3 linked regions of the Macaca mulatta genome follow. The protein of the gene in region 3 interacts with the protein of the main gene of each other region in a biochemical or structural test. Links are inferred from orthologs where the notes say so. Each region holds a gene or a part of one and is shown on either strand. Other genes may lie near its edges. The genes, in order: CDH1, ZC3HC1 and CCNB1.

What was found.
Region 1: of the proteins of CCNB1 (region 3) and CDH1, one has a biochemical effect on the other in vitro, tested with the Homo sapiens proteins (3 studies listed by BioGRID). The link is inferred for Macaca mulatta from reciprocal best matches to the Homo sapiens genes CCNB1 and CDH1.
Region 2: of the proteins of CCNB1 (region 3) and ZC3HC1, one has a biochemical effect on the other in vitro, tested with the Homo sapiens proteins (3 studies listed by BioGRID, with this or other methods). The link is inferred for Macaca mulatta from reciprocal best matches to the Homo sapiens genes CCNB1 and ZC3HC1.

The regions. Positions count from the first base shown.
Region 1 is NC_133425.1:64,412,059-64,420,530, reverse strand, and holds part of CDH1 (cadherin-1), read right to left. Parts: intron 8,455-8,472; coding exon 8,279-8,454; intron 8,004-8,278; coding exon 7,875-8,003; intron 6,802-7,874; coding exon 6,619-6,801; intron 4,190-6,618; coding exon 3,945-4,189; intron 1,620-3,944; coding exon 1,474-1,619; intron 1-1,473.
Region 2 is NC_133408.1:169,697,410-169,704,763, forward strand, and holds the end of ZC3HC1 (zinc finger C3HC-type protein 1), read right to left. Parts: intron 7,176-7,354; coding exon 6,932-7,175; intron 5,801-6,931; coding exon 5,588-5,800; intron 4,602-5,587; coding exon 4,395-4,601; intron 1,153-4,394; coding exon 1,084-1,152; 3' UTR 715-1,083; downstream 1-714. UniProt on the Homo sapiens protein: Required for proper positioning of a substantial amount of TPR at the nuclear basket (NB) through interaction with TPR.
Region 3 is NC_133411.1:77,236,995-77,245,466, forward strand, and holds part of CCNB1 (G2/mitotic-specific cyclin-B1), read left to right. Parts: intron 1-865; coding exon 866-1,048; intron 1,049-4,430; coding exon 4,431-4,589; intron 4,590-5,397; coding exon 5,398-5,634; intron 5,635-5,916; coding exon 5,917-6,057; intron 6,058-6,347; exon of another isoform or gene 6,348-6,449; intron 6,450-7,611; coding exon 7,612-7,722; intron 7,723-7,890; coding exon 7,891-7,998; 3' UTR 7,999-8,472. UniProt on the Homo sapiens protein: Essential for the control of the cell cycle at the G2/M (mitosis) transition.

The sequences.
Region 1 (8,472 bases), on a different chromosome or scaffold from region 3:
ACAGCAGGCCAGGCGCGGTGGCTCACGCCTGTAATCCCAGCATTTTGGGAGGCCGAGGCGGGCAGATCACAAGGTCAGGAGTTCAAGACCAACCTGGCCAATATGGTGAAACCCCGTCTCTACTAAAAATACAAAAAATTAGCTGGGCATGGTGGCGCACACCTGTAATCCCAGCTATTTGGGAGACTGAGGCAGGAGAATTGCTTGAACCTAGGAGGCAGAGGTTGCAGTGATCCAGGATTTTGCCACTGCACTCCAGCCTGGGTGACAGAGCGAGACTCTGTCTCAAAAAAAAAAAAAAAAAAAAAAAAATTAAACAGTAAATCCAAGGTCACATGAATATTAAGCTTTGGAACTGGATCGTAAACCATCATTGTCGGGTTCCCTTAGGGAAGGAATAAAGAGTGCGTGTGTAGTGAAAAGGAAGTTCTGTCTGACCAAAATTACTTGAAAAAAAAATTTTTTTTTTTTTGGAGACAGGGTCTTGCTCTGTTGCCCAGGATGGAGAACAGTGGCGCAATCTTGGCTCATTGCAGCCTCCACCTCTCAGACTCAAGCAATCCTACCACCTCAGCCTTCTGAGTAGCTGGGACTACAGGTGTTCACCAACATGCCCAGCTAATTTATGTACTGTTTGTAGAGAAAGTGTATTGCCATGTTGCCCAGGCTGGTCTCGAACTCCTGGGCTCAAGTGATCCTCCCACCTCAGCCTCCAAAGTGCTGGGATTACAGGTGTGAGTCACCATGCCCAGCCCACTTAAATTTTTGATAAGAATGCCTTTAAGAATAAAAGATAAATCTTTTGCAGCAACATGGATGAAACTGGAGGCCATTGTCTCAAGTGAAACAAATCAGACATGTAAGGAGAAATAACTGCATGTTCTCACTTAGAAGTGGGAGTTCAATAATGTGTACACATGGATGTAGATTGTGGAATGATAAACAATGGCAGCTGGGAAGGGTCCGAGGGGTGGGAGGGGGTAGATGATGAGCAATTACTTAATGGGTACAACGCATGTTATTTGGGTGATGCGTTAGGCTTTTCCTTAGGGCTTTCTTTTCTGTTACTGACATTTTTTTAATGTGCTGGCCAGTTGTTTTCTAGAGTGCCCTTAATTTGGGTTTGTCTGATTACTCCTCAAAATTTAGATTCAGGTAATCCATTTCAGGGGTTGGTGGTGGGGACAAGAACACGACGGAGGTGATGTTGTGGCCTCCCTAGTGCAGGACACTGGGAGGCACATGATGTTTGTTTGTGCTTCTATTGATACACTAAAAGCCCTGCCTTTATCACTACACATCTATGCTTGTAACAAAATTACCCTTGTACTCCATACATTTATACAAATCAATCCAACAAACACAAAGGATAAAAGAAAAAGAATAAACTCTTGCCTCCAAAAGAAGGGAGGGGCAAGAAAGTCAACTAGCCAGGAGGGTGAGGCAGCAAAGGCCCAGATGAGGCCCCCTTACCATTGTCTGTAGCTATGATGAGGGCTGTGTACGTGCTGTTCTTCACGTGCTCAACGTCCTCCCTGTCCAGCTCAGCCCGAGTGGAAATGGCACCAGTGTCCGGATTAATCTCCAGCCAGTTGGCAGCGTCTCTCCAAATCCGATACCTAAACAGGCACAAGCTCTGGCTTTTAGAATAGGACCAGCAAACAACATGTAGCTGAAAATGGCTCAAGCTCTTCTTCAGTTATATGGTTACTTCCAATGTTTTATTTTGAAAACCAACAATAGGTTGGGCACAGTGGCTCATGCCTGTAATCCCAGCACTTTGATAGAATACTACTGTTGAATATATGGTGCATATTCAAATTGTCAGATTTTCCAAAAATGTCCTTTATAGCAACCTTGCACCATTCTGGATTCAGGATCCAATATGGCCTTTGGTTGGCATGGCTCTTCCTTAAGGCTTTCTTTTCTGTCACTGACATTTTTTTAATGTGCTGGCCAGTTGTTTTCTAGAATGCCCTTAGTTTGGGTTTGCCTGATTACTCCTCAAAATTTAGATTCAGGTAATCCATTTCAGGGGTCAGTGGTGGGGACAAGAACACGACAGTGATGCTGTGGCCTCCCTAGTGCAGGACACTGGGAAGCACATGATGTCTGTCTGTGCTTCTATTGATAACTTTGATCACTTGGATAAGGGAAAGGCCACCAGATTTCTTCACAGCAAAGGTGCCTTTTTATACTGCATGATTAACATATAATCTGCAGGTAGATAATTTAAGAATATCTTGTTCAGCAACTAACTTTCACCCAACAGATTTGGCATCTATGGATGATTCTTGCTGAAGCAATGATTACTATAATCCTTATTTATTTTTAAAAGCAGACTCCTCCAGACCAGCTCCCCCAAAACAATACAGTAGTTCCTAAATGGTAGCAACATGTCACCTCTTCTCCTGTCATGAACATCTGGAGATGCAGGTTGCCTTGTTGACTTGTGGGTGGGCTGTACTATTGGCATTTAATGGGAGCTAAAGGGAAGCTAACAGAGATCTACTGCTCATTTATTTACTAGGGTCATGGAAAGGCTCTGAAAGGGAAACTAAGAAATCAAAGGAGGAAAGGACTCTGAGAACCTGCGGGCTTGGCCTCACTTCTTTGGAAGTGCAAAGCAATGAATTACATCAAGTGGTCATTGTTCCAGGTGTAAGGGCCTCTGCAAACAGACACTAGAGACCTGGTCCCTGAATCTGCCCCAGGAGATGCTTTGAACTATCTATTTCACTACTGCAAGCTTTCAGCCCAGCCTGGAAACTGTACAATCCAGGGTTTCATCACAGAACCAAATCCTACATTATTGTCTTTGACTTTTCACCATTCTTTTAAACTTCAGTTAAAACCCATCTTGCCAGGCCTTACAGTTCGGAGCATGTAGAAATATCTCTAGATTATGAGGAGTCCATTGGCTACATATAGAAAATGAGAGTTTTTATTATTATTATTATTTTTTGAGATGGAGTCTCACTCTGTCGCCCAGGTTAGAGTGCAGTGGCTCGATCTCAGCTCACTGCAACCTCAACCTTTTGGGTTCAAGTGATTCTCGTGCCTCAGCCTCCCAAGTAGCTGGGATTACAGGTGTGCACCACCATGCCTGGCTAATTTCTTGTGTTTTTAGTAGAGGCAGGGGTTTCACCATGTTGGCCAGGCTGGTCTTGAACACCTGGCCTCAACATGATCCACTTGCTAGACCTCCCAAAGTTTTGGGATTACAGGCATAAACCGCTGCACCCAGCCCAAAATGAGAGTATTTTAAAGCAAGTGTTGTAGTTGGTTGGTTGGTATGTGGGTTTTCAGCATCTGTGTGATTTACATTATAGAGGTACCTTCAAGTTTGAAAGGAGAAATACTAATAGTAAGCTACTTAGAACACAATACTATGGGCTGGGTGCGGGGGCTCACGCCTGTAATCCCACCACTTTGGGAGGCGGGCAGATCACTTGAGGTCAGGAGTTCGAGACCAGCCTGGCCAATGTGGTGAAGCCTCATCTCTACTAAAAATACAAAAATTAGCCGGGCGTGGTGGCGGGCACCTATAATCCTGGCTACGTGGGAGACTGAGGCATGAAAATTGCTTGAACCCAGGAGACAGAGGCTGCAGTAGGCAGAGATCACCACTGTATACTAGCCTAGGTGACAAAGTGAGACTCCAAACACAAAAAAACACACTATTGTGTATGCAAAGTAAAATCACATTTCTACCATACTACAAGAGCTCAAAGAGAGGCAGCACATCAGACCAAGAACGGCTGTCTGTAGAGGGAAGGGAACAGGTGAAAGGAGTACAGATAAAGGGAATAAAAAATAAATTAAGAGAATGGTCTTGTACAGACAAATGACAAAATGCCATGAACTATGTATTATTGATTTATATATAAAATGATATAAAATACCCAGCTGCTGTAAGTCAGTTGAAAAATCCTCACACTTACGTTATTTTCTGTTCCATAAATGTGTCTGGCTCCCGGGCAGTGTAGGATGTGATTTCCTGGCCCACGCCAAAGTCCTCGGACACTTCCACTCTCTTTTCTGGAGGCACAAAGATGGGGGCTTCGTTCACATCCAGCACATCCACGGTGACAGTGGCTGTGGAGGTGGTGAGAGAGACCTCAAAAGGCGCCACGTTCGTCACTGCCACGTGTAGAATGTACTGCTGCTTGGCCTCAAAATCCAAGCCCTAGAGAGCAGAAACAATGAAGTTAAAAACAAAACAAAACATTTTGTGTTAGTAAAAATGAAATTAAATCCTTAACTGTTGCTTTTGGTAATACAGTAGGTTGGTGCAAAAGTAACTGTGGTTTCTGCCATGACTTTCAATGGCAGAAACCATAATTACTTACCAGGGCTTCTCAGATCTGCTCACCTACTCAAGAGGAAGTCAAAGCTCTGGGGCTATTCTAGGGATCCAGTCACTTCAACAAGCAATTCACTCAAATTCTTAGTTTTCAAGTTTCTTTCCTTATTTTGTTTCTGAGACAGAATTTTTGCTCTTGTCACCCAGGCTGGAGTGCAATGGCTCACTGCAACCTCTGCCTCCCAGCTTCAAGCAATTCTCCTGCCTCAGCCTCCCTAGTAGCTGGGATTACAGGAGCCTGCCACTACACCTGGCTAATTTTTTGTATTTTTAGTAGAGATGATGTTTCACCATGTTGGCCAGGCTGGTCTCGAACACCTGACCTCAGGTGATCAACCCACCTTGGCCTCCCAAAGTGTTGGGATTACAGGACTGAGCAACTGTGCCTGGCTACCTTTTTTTTTTTTTTTTTTTTTTTAAAGAGACGGAGTCTCGTTATATTGCCCAGGTTAGAGTACAGTGCCATGATCATAGCTCAGTGCAGTGTCAACCCCCTGGGCTCAAGTGATCCTCCCACCTCAGCCTCCCAAGTAGTTGGACCCACCGCCATGCACTACTGTGCTTGGCTAGTTTTCAAGTTTCTAGGACATTTTTCAAAAACAACCATATCTGCCCCACTTCTAAAATAAACCAGCACAAGAGCAGAGACCAGTAAATCATTTTCCCTCTCATTGCAAAATGGAAAGAGCTAAGGGAAGGAGAATGTTTTGGGAAAGAGCCTTTTTCAATTTCAGGATCCTGTGTAAGAGCTTCTTGATTTCTTCTTTTTTTTTTTTTTTTTTTTTTTGAGACGGAGTCTCGCTCTGCCGCCCAGGCTGGAGTGCAGTGGCCGGATCTCAGCTCACTGCAAGCTCCGCCTCCTGGGTTCACGCCATTCTCCTGCCTCAGCCTCCCGAGTAGCTGGGACTACAGGTGCCCGCCACCGCGCCCGGCTAGTTTTTTGTATTTTTTAGTAGAGACGGGGTTTCACCGTGTTAGCCAGGATGGTCTCGATCTCCTGACCTCGTGATCCGCCCGTCTCAGCCTCCCAAAGTGCTGGGATTACAGGCTTGAGCCACCGCGCCCGGCCTTTTCTTTCCTTCCTTTCCTTCCTTTCCTTCCTTTCTTTCCCTTCCTTCCCTTCCTTCCCTTCCTTCCCTTCCTTCCTCTCTTTCCTCTCTTTCCTCTCTTTCTCTCTTTCTCTCTTTCTTTCTTTCTTTCCAGACAGAGTCTCACTCTGTTGCCCAGGCCAGAGTGCAGTGGCATGATCTTGGCTCACTGCAACCTCTGTCTTCCAGGCTCAAGCAATTCTCCTGCTTCAGCCTCCCAAGCAGCCGGGATTACAAGTGTGCACCACCACATCCGGTTAATTTTTGTATTTTTGGTAGAGACAGGGTTTCACCATGTTGTCCAGGCTGGTCTCAAACTCTTGACCTCAGATGATCTGCCCCCCTTGGCCTCCCCAAGTGCTGGGATTACAGGCATGAGCCATCAAGAAGCCTTAGCTTCTTGATTTCTTTTTTTTTTTTTTTGAGACGAAGTCTCACTCTGTTGCCAGGCTAGAGTGCATGGCACGATCATGGCTCACTGCAACCTCTGTCTCCCAGGTTCAAGTGATTGTCCTGCCTTAGCCTCCCTAGTAGCTGGAACCGCGCTAGTAGTGGGAGCACGCCACCACGCCCAGCTAATTTTTGTATTTTTAGTAGAGATGAGGTTTCACTATGTTGGTCAGGATGATCTCGATCTCTTGACCTTGTGATCTGCCCGCGTTGGCCTCCCAAAGTGCTAGGATTACAGGCATGAGCCCCCACGCCCGGCCTCTTTTTTTTCCCCCCCGAGATGGAGTCTTGCTCTGCTGCCCAGAGCTGGAATGCAATGGTGCGATCTCGGCTCACTGCAACCTCCACCTCCCAGGTTCAAGCAATTCTTCTGCCTTAGCCTCCCGAGTAGCTGAGATTACAGACGTGTGCCACCATGCCCAGCTAATTTTTGTATTTTTAGCAGAGACTCGAACTCCTGACCTCGTGATCCACCTGCCTCAGCGTCCCACAGTGCTGGGATTACAGGCGTGATCCACCACACCCAGCCCAGTTTCTTGATTTCTTACATGGGCAGGAAGAGCCACTGCAAACCCCACATGGTCCACTAGAATCTGGGAAAGTCACCCTGTCCCCCTGCCAAAGCGAATCTACTTCTAAGAAGATACCAGGGGACAAGGGCATGAACAGCTTCAAGGATGCCAGTTTCTGCATCTTGCCATATACCATACAAACCTTTGCTGTTTTCAAAATGCCATCGTTGGTCACTGGATTTGTGGTGACAACAAATTGTCCGTCATTATCATTCAATATAGTGTATACAGCCTCCCACGCTGGGGTATTGGGGGCATCAGCATCAGTCACTTTCAGTGTGGTGATTACGAAGTTCGCCTGGTTCTCAGGCACCTGACCCTTGTACTGCAGAGGAAAGAGATGGGTCATTTACAAAGTACCAAGACTGCTAGCAGAGCTGAGTCTCAGGGGGCTAAAGGAATCCTCTTTTTTTGTTGTTTGAGACAGGATCTCACTGTCATCAGGCTGGAGTGTATTGGAGCGATCATGGCTCACTGTAGCCTCAACCTCCTGAGCTCAAGCAATCCTCCCACCTCAGTCTCCAGAGTAGCTAGGACCACACACATGCGCCACCACACCTGGCTAACTGAAAGCAAGCTTCGAGGAGCAGATGTGACGAGGAGAGACCAGGCAATGGGCACATTGGGTTGCAATGGTGCAATCTCAGCTCACTGCAGCCTCCACCTCCTGGGTTCGAGCAACTCTCGTGCCTCAGCCTCCCAAATAGCTGGGATTACAAGCATGCACCAACATGCCCGGCTAATTTTTGTATTTTTAGTTGAAACGGGGTTTTGCCACGTTGGCCGGGCTGGTCTCAAACTCCGTCCTTAAGGCCGGGCTGGTCTCAAACTCCAAACAGCCTTGGCCTCCCAACTTGTTGGGATTACAGGTGTGAACCACCACACCTGGCCATTATACAGGATGATTTAAACTTCCCCTACTTGGTTCTCAACACCTTCTCCTTGAATGCATGTAATATCCTTGGTGTTCAATAACTCTCATAAGATGTCTTCCTAGCTATAGTAGAAACACCATGAGAATAGAATCTTTGTCTGCTTTGTGTGTGATGGTATCTCCACTGTCTAACACAGTGCCTAATATAAACTTAGAAAATACGTGTTCAATGAAGAAATGAAACCCAGTAATATTTGCTATAAAAATGTACCATATGCAGATAGGAAATCAGTAGGTGCTTTCTGCAACTTCACAATCTTGAGCCAACTGGCCCCAGGCCAAGGGTGGAAAAAAGATGCTAAAAGACAACTGTCATCTCAAGATGCTTGCTTTTAAGTTTAAAGTTAACATTCGCTAGTCTGGAGAGAGTTTTCAAAGACTTTGCCCATGAGCAGTGGTGAAACTTAGTTCACGAACAACAAAAGACCTTTCTTTGGAAACCCTCTGAGGAGTTGTAGAATTACCGTGGTGGGATTGAAGACTGGAGGGTTATCATTGGTGTCAGTGACTGTGATCACAGCTGTTGCTGTTGTGCTTAACCCTTCACCTTGAAGGTCAGCAGCTTGAACCACCAGGGTATACATAGGGAAACTCTGCAGAGAGATCAATGCAACCAAGTTAGGACCAGGACTACCAGCCACCTCTGGCCTAGCCCAGCCCAACACATGGAACCAGAATATTTAACCATCTGCTTCACGCCAGTCAGCCTGTCTTCTAGGCACGGAACCTCTGGGCAGAAGCTTAGATGCAAAGCTCAGACCAACACTGTATTAACTGACAGGTGGCCTAGCAGGATTTTGCTTTGTCCACGGGATTGAGCTAATATACATTTGTCCTCCACACCCTCTGGATCCTCCTGACATCTGACCTCTCGGTCCAGCCCAGTGGTGACCACACTGATGACTCCTGTGTTCTTGTTAATGGTGAACATATTTTTGTCAGGCAGCTCAGGATCTTGGCTGAGGATGCTGTAAGCGATGGCGGCATTGTAGGTGTTCACATCATCGTCCGCGTCTGTGGCTGTGACCTCCATTACGGAGGTCCCTGGAAGAATTCAAGGAG
Region 2 (7,354 bases), on a different chromosome or scaffold from region 3:
ACGCCCGGCTAATTTTTGTATTTTTAGTAAAGATGGGGTTTCACCATGTTAGCTAGGCTGGTCTTGAATTGCTGACCTCAAGTGATCCACCCGCCTTGGCCTCCCAAAGTGCTAGATTACAGACGTGAGCTACCACACCTGGCCTAGGTTCTATTTTTTAGAGATTAAACTGTGAGTAAAATATTATGTCTGTTATTTTCTTTAAAATACTTCAGTACAAAAGTATAAAATAAAACAATCTCAGTGACTAAAAACATGGCATATCAGAAAATAATCACTTTCTAGCCTTTGCTAGGTCATGGTTACTCTATCAGTGGGCAGTTCAGGGTCAACCTTCTCTACCACAAAAACTGATGATCCCCCAAAAGCAGTGATTCTTGGGGAAGCCCAACTGCGGGAGTCATGCATTCAATGGCACATGGAGAGGGGTCTCTTCTGAAGTGTCTTCCTCCCCATTACACTGTTTTATTCTGTTACCATCAAAGCAAGGAGAAAATTATCAGCTTACCATTCACTATAACATACCAGGAAATTTCCTGGTGGCATAATGAAAATCATCTTGCTTTTTTGGTTTAGGGAAGATTATACCTCCTTGACTGGAATCACAAATTTTAGGCTTCGCAGCCAATCTGAAAATCAAAAGTCGAATGTTCCACTGACGTTGTCTCCGGCCCACAAGGCAAGGGGGAAAACAGTTCTCCAACAAGGAGAATCTTAGCAAATATTTTATTAATACACGCTGTCATACTCCTGGGATAGAAGAGTCCTCAGAACACCACCCCACACTGAAGATGCTGAAATGGGTGGTCAGGTCCTTAGTCCTCCTTCTGGTCTGTTAACCCCGCACTCCTTCAACAGAATCAGGCTTGCTGCCCTTACCCTGTCCACATCCCTGAAAGGAAACGGGTCTCCCTCAGCCAGATGCAGACCGTTGACACTCCCTGCCTTTGCTATGGCAGGGGCTCCTTAGGATTAACCCGGAACAGGAAAAACTTAGCGTCAGCTGACCAAAAGGAACTCAGCCTTAATGTTTCCAAAAGTCACTCGCGTTCCAACTCTCTCCAGGAAGGGGCTAGAATATCTTCAGGATGAGCATAGAGATTCCCACTGCCGAAATATTCGGAATACTTTCCTTGATTTCTCAGAGAGACTCTGTAGGCAGAAAAGCTTATTATTAGTGATTAGGTTCTTTGATAGAGACAAAGGATAAATCATTTGTCCCCCAATGATCTGGATATGTCTAGGACTGAGTAAAAATTCACTTTGTAGTATGCTATATATAATGTATACCTAAAGTCAGACTAAAGATCGAGGGGCTGATGTTCTACTGTCAGACTCCTGTTAACACACTCTGAGCCTCTAAGACACGGCACGTATCCTCCCGTCAGGCATCTGTGTCTGTCCTCATCTTTGTACTTGTGGATGACACTTCTGACTTGCCGTTACTGCATGACATGTTTTGCACTGGTTTTTCATTCATGATGCTGAATTGGCCCTAGTTCATTATTTCTTGTGAATAAGCATTTATACTTATGTGATGCCTAGCTGAGGTTAACAGTATAAACCAAGGCCAAGTAATAAAAACAGAGTTGAATGACCCCTGTGAGTTTAAGCTCTGGCCTTGGTCTTCACAGCTTTATGTTTTAGCCAGCAGTGCTAGTAATAGGAAGAATCTCACTGCCATCTGATTATGCCAATGAAGTACTCTGAGATTCTGAGAAATGGTGGTAAAGGGAGACAAAGTAATTCCTTAGGGGACAAAAGCTCTTGGTGAATCAGAACACTTGGTTCTGTCTGCCTTTGAGCGTCACAATAAAGAGCAAATGCTCCACGCAGAAAGGGCTTCAGTGAGAGTGCAAAGAATGTCCAGCAAGATGATCCACAGTTACCTCCAGTTTCTCATATGACATGTTCAATGTCGCCCAGGCTGGAGTGCTGTGGTGCGATCTCGGCTCACCGCAACCTCCGACTCCCTGGTCCAAGCGATTCTCCTGCCTCAGCCTCCTGAGTAGCTGGGATTACAGGCATGTGCCACCATGCCCTGCTAATTTTTGTATTTTTAGTAGAGATGGAATTTCACCATGTTGGCCAGGATGGTCTCGATCTCCTGACCTCGTGATCTGCCTTCCTCGGCCTCCCAAAGTGCTGGGATTACAGGCATGAGCCACCACGCCCGGCCCACTTTCACTTTCAGTTTTTAAAAAATCTATCCTCTTTGAGGATGTTTCAATAAGTTCCAGGAGGAAAAAGTTTGAACTCTTACTAATGACTGAGGGAAATTTAGTTAATAGAATGACAAAGTTGAAAGAAACATGAGTTGAAAAAATAGTATACACATTTTTCTTTTTTTTGAAAGGGAGTCTCACTGTGTTGCCCAGGCTGGAGTGTAGTAGCGCGATCCTGGCTCACTGCAGCCTCCACCTCCCGATTCTCCTGCCTCAGCCTCTGTAGTAGCTGGGACTACAGGTGCATGCCAACAGGCCTGCCTAATTTTTGTATTTTCAGTAGAGACGGGGTTTTGCCATGTTCGCCAGGCTGGTCTCGAACTCCTGACCTCAGGTGACCCCCTGCCTCAGAGTCCCAAAGTGCTGGGATCACAGGCATGAGCCACTGCACCTGGCCTTGGTATATACTTTTTTTTCAAACATCAGGATCCTTTACCACACCGTCTCATTAAGCTTTCTAGCATCCAGTCGCAGCAGCTGTCAGAAGGTTAAAAGACACTACCCACAAAAAAGACAAAAAAAGATCTTAAAAGTCCTGGAATCCAGGGCCAATTATGAGGCCAACTTTTCCCACTACAAAACAAAAACAAAACCCCATGGGCTTTCTTTTTCATATGGCAGTGAGAGAGAGGAGTCTTATTGAAAACTGCCAATGTACTAGTTTCTGAAGATCTAGGTAGAGAAATGCAGATTTTTTTTTTTTTCTGTGAAAACTTGGAAAACCTTCACCTGCATATTTACTGAGGGTACTAATATACATTTATTTTTATTATTATTTTTTTTGAGACAGAGTCTCTCTCTGAAGCCCAGGCTGGAGTGCAATGGCACGATCTCGGCTCACTGCAACCTCCGCCTCCTGGGTTCAAGTGATTCTCCAGCCTCAGCCTCCCAAGTAGCTGGGATTATAGGTGCCTGCCACCACACCCGGCTCATTTTTTTTTTTTATATTTTTAGTAGAGACGGGGTTTCACCATGTTGGCCAGGCTGGTCTCAAACTCTTGACCTCAGGTGATCCATTCACCTTGGCCTCCCAAAGTGCTAGGACTACAGGTGTGAGCCACCACGCCGCCATGCATTGTTGGACTTTTAGCATTACAATAGTTCCCTCCAGTGGAATCCTGTAACCCTAGAAAACCATGAATCTAGGAGTGCTGCTCGTAAATATCTGCTGACAAGTATTTTACTTTGTCCTTGAAAGTTATACAGGTCAGAAATTGTTACAAGCTACAAGGAAAATCTGGGAGTGAGCCAGCCAAGGAGAGAACCCAGTTTTCATGATTCTGTATTGCCCAGCCTATCACTTCCAATCTTTAAACAGAGCAAACACTTGACTTTTCTTCTCAGTTGTCACCCACATTTGTAACCCATAGCAGTCATGGCTGCAATGGCTAGCAGAGTCACAGTCTGGGCTGTAGAACAGAGTAATGTGCCCGGCGTGTGGAATGAAACCATCATTTTGGTGTCAGAGCCCAGTGCTCCAAACAGCTAAGTTAACTGGCCAGGCTCCAAGTGCAAGTGATAGCAACTGAAAGAAAAAGCAGCTGTCTGCAACATGAGGCCGGAGCAGCTGCCTATTCATCTATTTCTGTTTCTGTACTCCTTTTCTACTTGGAGTCATTTTATTTAGGAGAACAAAATAATTTATCAGAACTTGATGGAATGCCATATGCTAAACTGCAGAAAGACGAACAGGTTCTATGCCTATTCCCTAGGACTAAAGCAGAATGAGTCTAACTTGATGTGTAAGCTGGGCATGGTGGCTCATGCCTGTAATCCCAGCACTTTGGGAGGCCGAGGCCGGTGGATAACCTGAGGTCAGGAGTTTGAGACCAGCCTGGCCAACATGGCGAAACCCCATCTATTAAAAAATACAAAATTAGCCAGGCATGGTGGCAGGCACCTGTAATCCCAGCTACTTGGGAAGCTAAGGCAGGAGAATTGCTTGAACCCAGGAGACGGAGGTTGTAGTGAGCTGAGATCGCACCATTGGACTCCAGCCTGGGCAAGAACGAAACTCCATCTCAGAAAACAAACAAACAAACAAACAAACCCAAATAACTTGATGTATGGGAGCTGAAGGCAGGCAGGGTGCTAATTACAGGACCAGCCTCTGCTCCTCCTCCTATACACAGCAAGTGCTGCCCACACACAGGCAATGGCTTATCTCACCATGGAGTCCGTTTCAGCTGGCTGGCTAGACTGTTTGTGGGCCAAGAGGATGGTCAGCACTGCTTTCCAGCCTGGCTCTACTGGGGCGCTGGCATCTGGTTCAGTTCCACCATTCTCCCTGCTTTCTTTGCCGAGTGTGATATTCACCCAAGGGCACCAGTCTCTATGCTGAGAGGTGGGATCAAAGAAGCTTCGGGAAGATGTGTCCTGAGGAAGGAGAAAAAGAAATAGCATTCATGGGTAGACGCTAGGTAAGTTCAGGGAGACACTGCTACTAGTCATTAAGTCCAGAATCTCACAACTAACTATACTTCGAGTGTTTATGCTCTCCTTTAAACTTTGCCTATACATTTTCCTCGCATTTTCTTTATTTTTTTTCACTCCTTTTGTGTTAAACAAGCTACACTTTATCACAAGGGATAAGGGATACCCAACCCCCAGGCCATGGATAGGTACCAGGTCGCACAGCAGGAGGTGAGCAGCAGGCAGGCAAGCAAAGCTTCATCTGAATTTACAGCCGCTCCCCATTGTTTGCATTACCACCTGGGCTCTGCCTCCTGTCAGATCAGCAGTGGCATTAGATTCTCACAGGAACAGGAACCCTACTGTGAAGTGCACATGTGGGGGATCTAGACTTCGGGCTCCTTATGAGAGTCTGACACCTGATGTCTGTCACTGTTTCCCATCACCCCCAGATGAGATCATCTAGTTGCAGGAAAACAAGCTCAGGGTTCCCAGTGATTCTATATTATGGTGAGTTGTATAATTATTTCATTATACATTACAATATAATAATAATAGAAATAAAGTACACAATACATGTAATGTGCTTACATCATCCCAAAACCATCCTCCCAACCCTGGTCCGTGGAAAAATGGTCTTCCACGAAAACGGTCCCTGGTGCCAAAAAGGTTGGGGACCACTGCCATATCAGGTTTGTCCCTGTATCACACTGCTGTTCCATTTGCCTGAAATATCTATTATTTCTCCAGAATCCACCCCAAAGGAGCAAAAAGGAGCAAAAAACATGACTGACATTTTTCCCCTTTGGTCACCCAACTTTAAACTTATTCACAGGGTCTACTTTTTGCACTGGACCATGGAAGGGCTCATGCCTGCTTCTCCGTGCTGCCCAGGGAAAGCCCAACATGCTGTTTCTGCTCAGCCACTGCTACATGCGCGGTGGACTCACCGAACTGCTGGAGGAGCAGAGGCGAGCTCGTTTGGCTTTCCGCAGAGGGCTAGATGGTACCTCCAGGCCAGGGGTGTCTCCTGTTCCCATGCTTCGGGTCACTGGGCGAGTTCTGGTGGTGGGGCTAGCAGCCTCTGGCTCAGGACGGTCAACAGGACTGGAAGAGTCCCAGCTCCGAGTTCGAGAGACAATGGGACCAGGGCTCTTTTCAGCCTGAAGGAAAGGGGAGATAATGGAATTACACAAATGATATTAATGATACTTCTTTCTTTAATCTTCTTCTTTTTGAGACAGAATCTCGCTTTGTTTCCAAGGCTGGAGTGCAGTGAGGCGATCTTGGCTCACTACAACCTCTGCCTCCCAAGTTCAAGTGATTCTCCTGCCTCAGCCTCCCAAGTAGCTGGGATTACAGGCGCCCACCACCACCCCTGGCTAATTTTTGCATTTTTGGTAGAGACGGGGTTTCACCATGTTGGCTAGGCTGGTCTCGAACTCCTGACCTCAAGTGATCCACCTGCCTCAGTCTCCCAAAGTGCTGGGATTACAGGCGTGAGCCACCGGGTCTGGCTGAATTTAGCTTCTCCATTAGTGAACAGAAACACTACGTGATATTGTGACCAATGTAGTGGGAAGTGAAGCCTATCCACCTAAATTAATTTCCAACTTTCTACCAATAATACTTTTTTTTTTTTTTTTTTTTGAGACGGAGTCTTGCTCTGTCGCCGGGGCTGGAGTGCAGTGGCCGGATCTTGGCTCACTGCAAGCTCCGCCTCCCGGGTTTACGCCATTCTCCTGCCTCAGCCTCCCGAGTAGCTGGGACCACAGGCGCCCGCCACCTCGCCCAGCTAGTTTTTTTTTTTTTGTATTTTTTAGTAGAGACGGTGTTTCACCGTGTTAGCCAGGATGGTCTCGATCTCCTGACCTCGTGCTCCGCCCGTCTCGGCCTCCCAAAGTGCTGGGATTACAGGCTTGAGCCACCGCGCCCGGCCTTTTTTTTTTTTTTTTTTTTGAGACGGAGACTTGCTCTGTCGCCTGGGCTGGAGTGCGGTGGCCGGATCTCAGCTCACTGCAAGCTCCGCCTCCCGGGTTCACGCCATTCTCCTGCCTCAGCCTCCGGAGTAGCTGGGACTACAGGCGCCCGCCTAGTTTTCTGTATTTTTTTAGTAGAGATGGGGTTTCACTGTGTTAGCCAGGATGGTCTCGATCTCCTGACCTTGTGATCCGCCCGTCTCGGCCTCCCAAAGTGCTGGGATTACAGGCTTGAGCCACCGCGCCCGGCCTACCAATAACACTTTTGCCAAGAATGTTGTTTAAAAGTCCACCCCAAACAAGCTAAGTGCATACCTGCTCTGAGCCTGGGGAGAAAGTGGCATCCTGGCTCCGCGTCATCATCCTCCGAGGAGATTCAGGCACCAGAGGTAAGCGCTCTGGTCGCCCCTCAAGGCCTGGGATCGGGGAGCTGGTCAGGCCAAAGGATGCATCCAGGTCAGTCATGGATGATTCAATCTGCTGGAAGCCCCAGAGCCCCACCTTCCTCATACACTGCGAACATGTTATCAGGGAAAGCTGCATGGGTTCCAAAGAGGAACTAGATAGGAATGAAAAAAAAAGAGAATTTTCTCAAAGTGTAACATTTCCAAATGACTAAGTGTAATGTCTCGCAAGTATGCTTTATCTCATCCAATTTCTGGAACAGTCCAGTGGACAGGGAACCATGGCCTGTCAGAGCCTCTGTGCTCCAATCTCAGGACCCCAGCTTCATACTTC
Region 3 (8,472 bases):
CTTGAAGGAAGTGGTTAATGGTAATGAAGTTAATCCTTAGTAGTCAGGATAGAATTTATGTTATTTTGAGTAGTGAGAAGCAGTTTATATTTTGAAATAAAGACTAAAGACTGAACTGTCCTTTATTTGGATTAACTTCACATGTTGCTGATAAAGATTAATTACTTCTCAGTTTCCTTTGCAGGAAAGTCTAGAATGTGAATTTATTTGCTTCCAACTTTAAACTGACTCACTCTGAGTTGGCATTTCACTCTTTTTTTTGCCCAGGCTGGAGTAGAATGGCGCAATCATAGCTCACTGTATCCTCAAACTGCTGGGCTCAAGTGATCCTCCTACCTTGGCCTCCTGAGTAGCTAGGATTATAGGCAGTTGCCTTCATGCCCAGCTAATTTTTTGTAGAGATGAGTTATTGCTATATTGCCCAGGCTGGTCTCGAACTCATGGTCTCAAAGGATCCTCCCACCTCAGCCACCCAAAGAACTGCGATTACAGGCTTGAGCCACCATGCCCGACCTCATTCTTTTTAATTGAGTAATTAAATGATCACTTTCTTTTTTAACAAAGACAGGGTCTTGCTATATTGCCAAGGCTTGTCTTGATCTCCTGGCCTCAACCTCAGCCTCTCAAAGTGCCGAGATTAAAGGCGTGAGCCACCACGCCCAACCCAAATGATCACTTTGGATGTTAATCACTTCCTAAAAAGAAATGGAATAGTATGAAAAGATACTTTTCCTTTAAGGAAATGAATTGTATGTTGATTCAGGAGAACACTATCTTGAGTTGGTACCAATAACCTGACCTTCAAGCCCAAACTATAGTGCTTACTCCTATTTGCTCTTGTTTCAAGAGATCTCTTTGTTTTAAGGTTGATACTCCCTCTCCAAGCCCAATGGAAACATCTGGATGTGCCCCTGCAGAAGAAGACCTGTGTCAGGCTTTCTCTGATGTAATTCTTGCAGTAAATGATGTGGATGCAGAAGATGGAGCCGATCCAAACCTTTGTAGTGAATATGTGAAAGATATTTATGCTTATCTGAGACAACTTGAGGTCAGTAATTATCATTAGTTTTTTTTTCTAAACTGCATCTAACTTTATGAAAGTCTTTTCTATCAATAGTTCATAATAATTCAAGCAGGACTTGGGCAGCATTTCTTAAGAGATCGCACTTTCAAATTCTCCTTCATGGAATACCTAAAATAAAAAGTCACTAAATCAATGGAGTCTATTTGCCACTTTGTGCAGGAAAGTTCGAAGTCAGGGTGGATACTACTATCGGTCTTTCTGAAGGAAGGTCCACAGATTGAATTTTATATGTATATATGCAATCTCCACCGTATTTGGAATGGTTAAGTCCCAAACTCTGCATTTTAGGTAATAATGGGTCAGCAAGTGGATGAGGATGTAGAATATACTCAAAGACTACAGCCACCCCTAACACAAGGCATTTTGTGTTAGTGTGGCTGATGTGCGTCCAGTTGTTGGTGAAATTATTTGTGCCCAAAAGGAGTACACTCAAAAGCTACTTTTTGGTTCACTTCAATTTGATCCCACTTTTGAAACTTTCTCTTAATGGCATTTGCCCTTTTCCTACAAACACAAGTATTCTATATGGCAGCATAAACATAGTAGCGTCAACTATACCGTTATCACATTTACCTAGTTTTTTGGTGTGTGTGTGTGTGTGTGTGTGTGTTTTTTTTTTTTTTTAGAGGGAGTCTCACACTGTCGCCCAGGCTAGAGGGCAATGGTGCTGTCTCAGCTCACTGCAATCTGCCTCCTGGGTTCAAGCAAGTAATTCTCCTGCCTTAGTCTGCCGAGTAGTTGGGATTGCAGGCACACACCACCATGCCTGGCTAATTTTTTGTATTTTTATTTGGTTTTGGTTTTTTGAGACAGGGTCTTGCTCTGTTGCCCAGGCTGGAGTGCAGTGGTGCAATCTCGGCTCACTGCAACCTCTGCCTCTCGGGTCAAGTGATTCTCATGCCTCAGCCTCCTGAGCAGCTGGGATTACAGGTGCCCACCACAAAACCCAGCTAATTTTTGTACTTTTAGTAGAAATGAGGTCACCATATCGGCCAGGCTGGTCTCAAACTCCTTAGATGATCCACCCACCCGGCCTCCCAAAGTGCTGGGATTACAGGCATGAGCAGTCGCGCCCAGCCCCCAGTTGTTTTTAATGCATCGTCTTAATGTCATCACTGACATCTCTTGCCTGCTCCTTTGGGGCCTCTCCTTTTTCTATAGGATTCTTCTGCAAGACTTCTATGCCAGGAGTAGCCTTCTGCTTTGAGTTTCTTCTGCCATCTTTTTAGGGCTTTTTAAAGTTGTGTTCTTTTTTTTTTTTTTTTGAGACGGAGTCTTGCTCTGTCACCCAGGCTGGAGTGCAGTGGCCGGATCTCAGCTCACTGCAAGCCCCGCCTCCCAGGTTCACGCCATTCTCCTGCCTCAGCCTCCCGAGTAGCTGGGACTACAGGTGCCCGCCACCTCGCCCGGCTAGTTTTTTTTTGTATTTCTTAATAGAGACGAGGTTTCACCGTGTTAGCCAGGATGGTCTCGATCTCCTGACCTTGTGATCCGCCCGTCTCGGCCTCCCAAAGTGCTGGGATTACAGGCTTGAGCCACCGCGCCCGGCCTTAAAGTTGTGTTCTAACTTTGGAGGATACCTTTTTTTTTGAGACAGTCTCGCTGTGTCACCCAGGGGGTGTGCCGTGGCTCACTGCAAGCTCCGGCTCCCAGGTTCACGTCATTCTCCTGCCTCAGCCTCCTGAGTAGCTGGGACTACAGGCACGTGCCACCATGCCTGGCTAATTTTTTGTATTTTTAGTAAAGACAGGGTTTCACCATGTTAGCCAGGATGGTCTCGATCTCCTAACGTCATGATCCACCCACCTTGGCCTCCCAAAGTTCTGGGATTACAGGCATGAGCCACCGTGCCCAGCCTGTAAATGTGCTGTTTCTTGATGCTTCGTTCTTGTTCTGTGCAAGGCGGCCATATATGCAAAGCAACCCCCCAAATGTCAGAGGAGCTGAGAAACCAAGGAATAAGGCAGATAAATGGAGTTTGCTGGTATTGGGTGACTGATGAGGGGGAATTTACAGACATAAGTCTGGTCTTTGATGGCTGTAAGATGTAGATCTCTGCACTGTAACCCCTCATACCCACGGCTTGAGTATGTATACATTTTCTTGGGGAAAGTATACGTGCTCTAGAATGAATGTGCGGGTGGCTGAGAGAATGCTACAGACATCATAGCCTATAATGTATACAATAGTATGAAGGGCTGTTTTGGAGGAGAGGCCAAACTTAAAGTGAATAGGCAGAAGGCACATTGGATTAGCATTTAAAATAAAGTCACTCTTGTCCCCCACAGTTCTTAGCTATGTTGCTATTGGGCTTTAACCCTGGAGCAGGCAGGAGTGTTGTAATAGATGGGTTCCAGCTGCCCTGGGAGTTTGATATTTTCTCTACGTAAAGCTCAGGTTCTAACTTTAGAGGCTCAAGTGAAAAGATCTGAGATGATAGTATAGTATCTTTATTTGGAAGGGAGTGGACTAGCAAGAGTTGTGGTGAATTGAATATCGTAAGACCTGACAATATAAAAAAGCTGTCACACTGTCCTATCTAATGTTTGCCCTTTTTTGGCGGGGGGGTGAAGGGGGAACAGTCTCTCTCTGTCACCCAGGCTGGAGAGCAGTGGTGCAATCTCGGCTACCTGCAACCTCCACCTCCTGGGTTCAAGCAATTCTCCTGCCTCAGCCTCCTGAGCAGCTGGGACTACAGGTGTGCGCAACCACGCCCAGCTAATTTTTGTATTTTTAGTAAAGAGAGGTTTTGCCATGTTGGCCAGGCTGGTCTCGAACTCCTGGCCTCGAGCAATCTGCCCATCTCAGCCTCCCAAAGTGCTGGAATTACAGGCATGAGCCACCACGCCAGCCTTAATGTTTGCTTTCTTTCTTGGTGATGGTGTTGTTTGTGGTGACCATATGAATAATTGAATTAAGAACTGATACAAAGGCTGGGCACAGTGGCTCACGCCTGTAATCCCAGCACTTTGGGAGGCCAAGACAGGTGGATCACGAGGTCAGGAGATCGAGACCATCCTGGCTAACACAGTGAAACCCCGTCTCTACTAAAATACAAAAAAAAATTAGCCAGGCGTGGTGGTGGACGCCTGTAGTTCCAACTACTCGGGAGGCTGAGGCAGGAGAATGGCATGAACCCGGGAGGCGGAGCTTGCAGTGAGCCGAGATCGCGCCACTGCACTCCAGCCTGGGCGACAGAGCGGGACTCCGTCTCAAAAAAAAAAGGAACTGATAGAGATTCTAAATGCCCCAGTGCTACTTACTGTAGGAACTAACTGATCTTTCTGGACATAAATGTGTCACATGGAGTCATGTTTCTAAGAATAATCGGCATTTTCTTTTGCAGGAAGAGCAAGCAGTCAGACCAAAATACCTACTGGGTCGGGAAGTCACTGGAAACATGAGAGCCATTCTAATTGACTGGCTAGTACAGGTTCAAATGAAATTCAGGTTGTTGCAGGAGACCATGTACATGACTGTCTCCATTATTGATCGGTTCATGCAGGTAAGCATTTCAGTAAGTTTTCCCTTCCAGGATTCTAGCCGAGTCATAAGAAGCTGACGTTTTTGGGCTGGGCCGGGTGTGGCGGCTCATGCCTGCAATCCCAGCGGGTGGGTGGATCACGAGGTTAGGAGATCCGAGACCATCTTGGCTAACACAGTAAAACCCCGTCTCTACTAAAAATACAAAAATCGGCCGGGCGCGGTGGCTCAAGCCTGTAATCCCAGTACTTTGGGAGGCCGAGACGGGTGGATCACGAGGTCAGAAGATCGAGACCATCCTGGCTAACACGGTGAAACCCCGTCTCTACTAAAAAATACAAAAAACTAGCCGGGCGAGGTGGCGGGCGCCTGTAGTCCCAGCTACTCAGGAGGCTGAGGCAGGAGAATGGCCCGAACCCGGGAGGCGGAGCTTGCAGTGAGCTGAGATCCGGCCACTGCACTCCAGCCTGGGCGACAGAGCGAGACTCCGTCTCAAAAAAAAAATAAATAAAAATAAAAAAAAAATAAAAATACAAAAATTTAGCTGGGTGTGGTGGCGGGCGCCTGTCGTCCCAGCTACAGGAGGCAGAGGTTGCAGTGAGCTGAGATCGCGCCATTGCACTCCAGCCTGGGCGACAGAGTGAGACTCCATCTCAAAAAAAAAAAAAAAAGAAAGAAAGAAACTGACTTTTTCAGCTAAAATCTTTCTTGGGGGATATGGTATCATTAATTAAGATTTTGCAATGGGAGAATGTCTTTCTACCTCTCCATCATAGCTCTGTGTCTCCTTTTCAAACATGTTATTCATTGTGTTGAAATTCCCATTGCAGAATAATTGTGTGCCCAAGAAGATGCTGCAGCTGGTTGGTGTCACTGCCATGTTCATTGCAAGCAAATATGAAGAAATGTACCCTCCAGAAATTGGTGACTTTGCTTTTGTGACTGACAATACTTACACTAAGCACCAAATCAGACAGATGGAAATGAAGATTCTAAGAGCTTTAAACTTTGGTCTGGGTCGGCCTCTACCTTTGCACTTCCTTCGGAGAGCATCTAAGATTGGAGAGGTACAGGTTTCTTAAGAAACCTTTCGGTATGGGTACATTAGGGAACACTGCTGCTGACCAAGCAAGTCGAATTCAACTGACCTATATTATACCTAACTACATGGGGAAGAGAGAAAGTTGTTCTTTATTTTTAGTCAGGCTGCATGTTAATATTAGGGCTTTCCGTGGGCATTTGAGAGTTTGTAGACAAACATTTGTAGTTAAAAGATACATATGGGCATGCAGGTTAGTGCCAAATGAAAATTTTCTGAAAGAAACTCAGTGACACGGGTTTTGTTTCAGGTTGATGTTGAGCAACATACTTTGGCCAAATACCTGATGGAACTAACTATGTTGGACTATGATATGGTGCACTTTCCTCCTTCTCAAATTGCAGCAGGAGCTTTTTGCTTAGCACTGAAAATTCTGGATAATGGTGAATGGGTAAGCTCTGTCCCACAGAACTCCTAAGCTTTTAAATTGTAAAGAATGTTTGACTAAATACAGAACTTTTGTTATTAAAGGGCAATTCAAGTGATTCATAAATATGGGATCTACTGAAGGAATAGTTTAAAAAGATGTCATAGAATGTTTCCACATGGTTTTGTTTTTGAGACAAGGTCTCGCTCTGTCGCCTGGGCTGGAGTGCAGTGATGCAGTCTTGACCCACTGCAACCTCAGCCTCCAGAGTAGCTGGGACTGAAGGTTTCTGGCTAGTTTTTAAATTCTTTTCATGTCAGACGGGTAATATGCCCACGTTGTAACAAGGTTTGAGGGTGGCACATTTCACACGTTCACATGAACACCCAATCATCACACTTATAAACTACAAGAGTCGCCCACCAGCCTGGGCAACGTAGCAAATCCTCATCTTTACAAATATATATATATATATATATATATATATATTCAGGTTGTTGCAGGAGACCATGTACATGACTGTCTCATCTTTACAAATATATATATATACACACACACAAATATATATATATACACAAATATATATATATACACACACAAATACATATATATACACAAATATATATATATATATATATATATAGGCAAATGTCTGTAGTCCCAGCTACTCTGGAGGCTGACCTTTATATTTTTTGTAGACATGGCGCCTCCCTATATTACCCAGGCTGGTCTTGAAACCCTGGGCTCAAGCGATCTACCCACTTCCACTTACCAAAGTGTTGGAATTACAGGCGTGAGCCATTGCAACCAGTCAAGTGTTTCCATTTCTTTGCCTAATTTCAACTGTATTCCCTTTGAGAAAGGTAGAGCAACTTTTACTCCTTAGAGGAGAAACTTGAAGGTCAAATGACATACAAATAGTACATTCATATTCATTGATTCAGCAAATGCCTCTCCTATGTGGCAGGCACTACCCTAGGTGTTAAGAATAGAACTATGCAGCCGGGTGTGGTGGCTAACACCTGTAATCCCAGCACTTTGGGAGGCCAAGGTGGGCAGATCACGAGCTCAAAAGTTCAAGACCAGTCTGACCAATGTGGTGAAACCCTATCTCTACTAAAAATACAAAAATTAGCCAGGCATGGTGGTGCAAACCTGTAACCCCAGCTACTCAGGAGGCTGAGGCAGGAGAATCACTTGAACCCGGGAGGCAGAGGTCGCAGTGAACCAAGGTCACACCATGCACTCCAGCCTGGAGTGAGACTCCATCTCAAAAAAAAAAAAAAGAAAGAAAAGAATAGAACTATGACAAAGTTGGCCTCAAGGAAGTAGAGTCTAGTTTTAGGGTGGGCAAGTCAACAATTACAATAGTGCAATTGTGTTTGAGCAGAGGTTCCTATAGAAGCATGAGAGCACCTAGGAAAGGAGGAGTCTTTAGCTTTGTCTTACATTTCACTTATATTAATTAATGATACAGTACCCTTCCCTTCCCCACTCCTGAATAACATCAAACATCTAGAAACTTTATGAAAATCATTATCGATTGAGCATTTTTAACATTAACTTTTGTTGTCTTAGACACCAACTCTACAGCATTACCTGTCATATACTGAAGAATCTCTTCTTCTGGTTATGCAGCACCTGGCTAAGAATATAGTCATGGTAAATCAAGGACTTACAAAGCACATGGTGAGTCAATATAGTGGCATTGTAAGATGTCAAAAAGTCTAATAATTCAAACTTAATGCCTGCAAATGCCTGGTTTATTTTTAATGAGTTAATGTTTTAAATGAATACCTGTATCATTGGATCTTGTGATTTTTTCCCCTCTTTAATGGCTATCCTTTTGTCTTCCAGACTGTCAAGAACAAGTATGCCACGTCGAAGCATGCTAAGATCAGCACTCTACCACAGCTGAATTCTGCACTAGTTCAAGATTTAGCCAAGGCTGTGGCAAAGGTGTAACTTGTAAACTTGAGTTGGAGTATATATTTACAAATAAAATTGGCACCATGTGCCATCTGTACATATTACTGTTGCATTTCCTTTTAATAAAGCTTATGGCCCCTTTTACTTTTTTATAGCTTAACTAATTTGAATGTGGTTACTTGCTACTGTAGGGTAGCGGAAAAGTTGTCTTAAAAGGTATGGTGGGGAATATTTTTAAAAACTGCTTTTGGTTTACCTGGGGATCCAATCGATGTATATGTTTATATACTTGGTTCTTGTTTTATGTACCTGGCTTTTACTTTATTAATACGAATTACTGAAGGTGATGGAGGTATTTGAAAATTTTACTTCCATAGGACATACTACATGTAAGCCAAGTCATCATGGAGAATCTGCTACGTAGTTCTATTTTCAAGTAAAAGTCTACCACCAAATCCCTAGTCACCCTGTTAGAATTCTGTTTCTTCTGGTGATTGCTGCCATAATTCT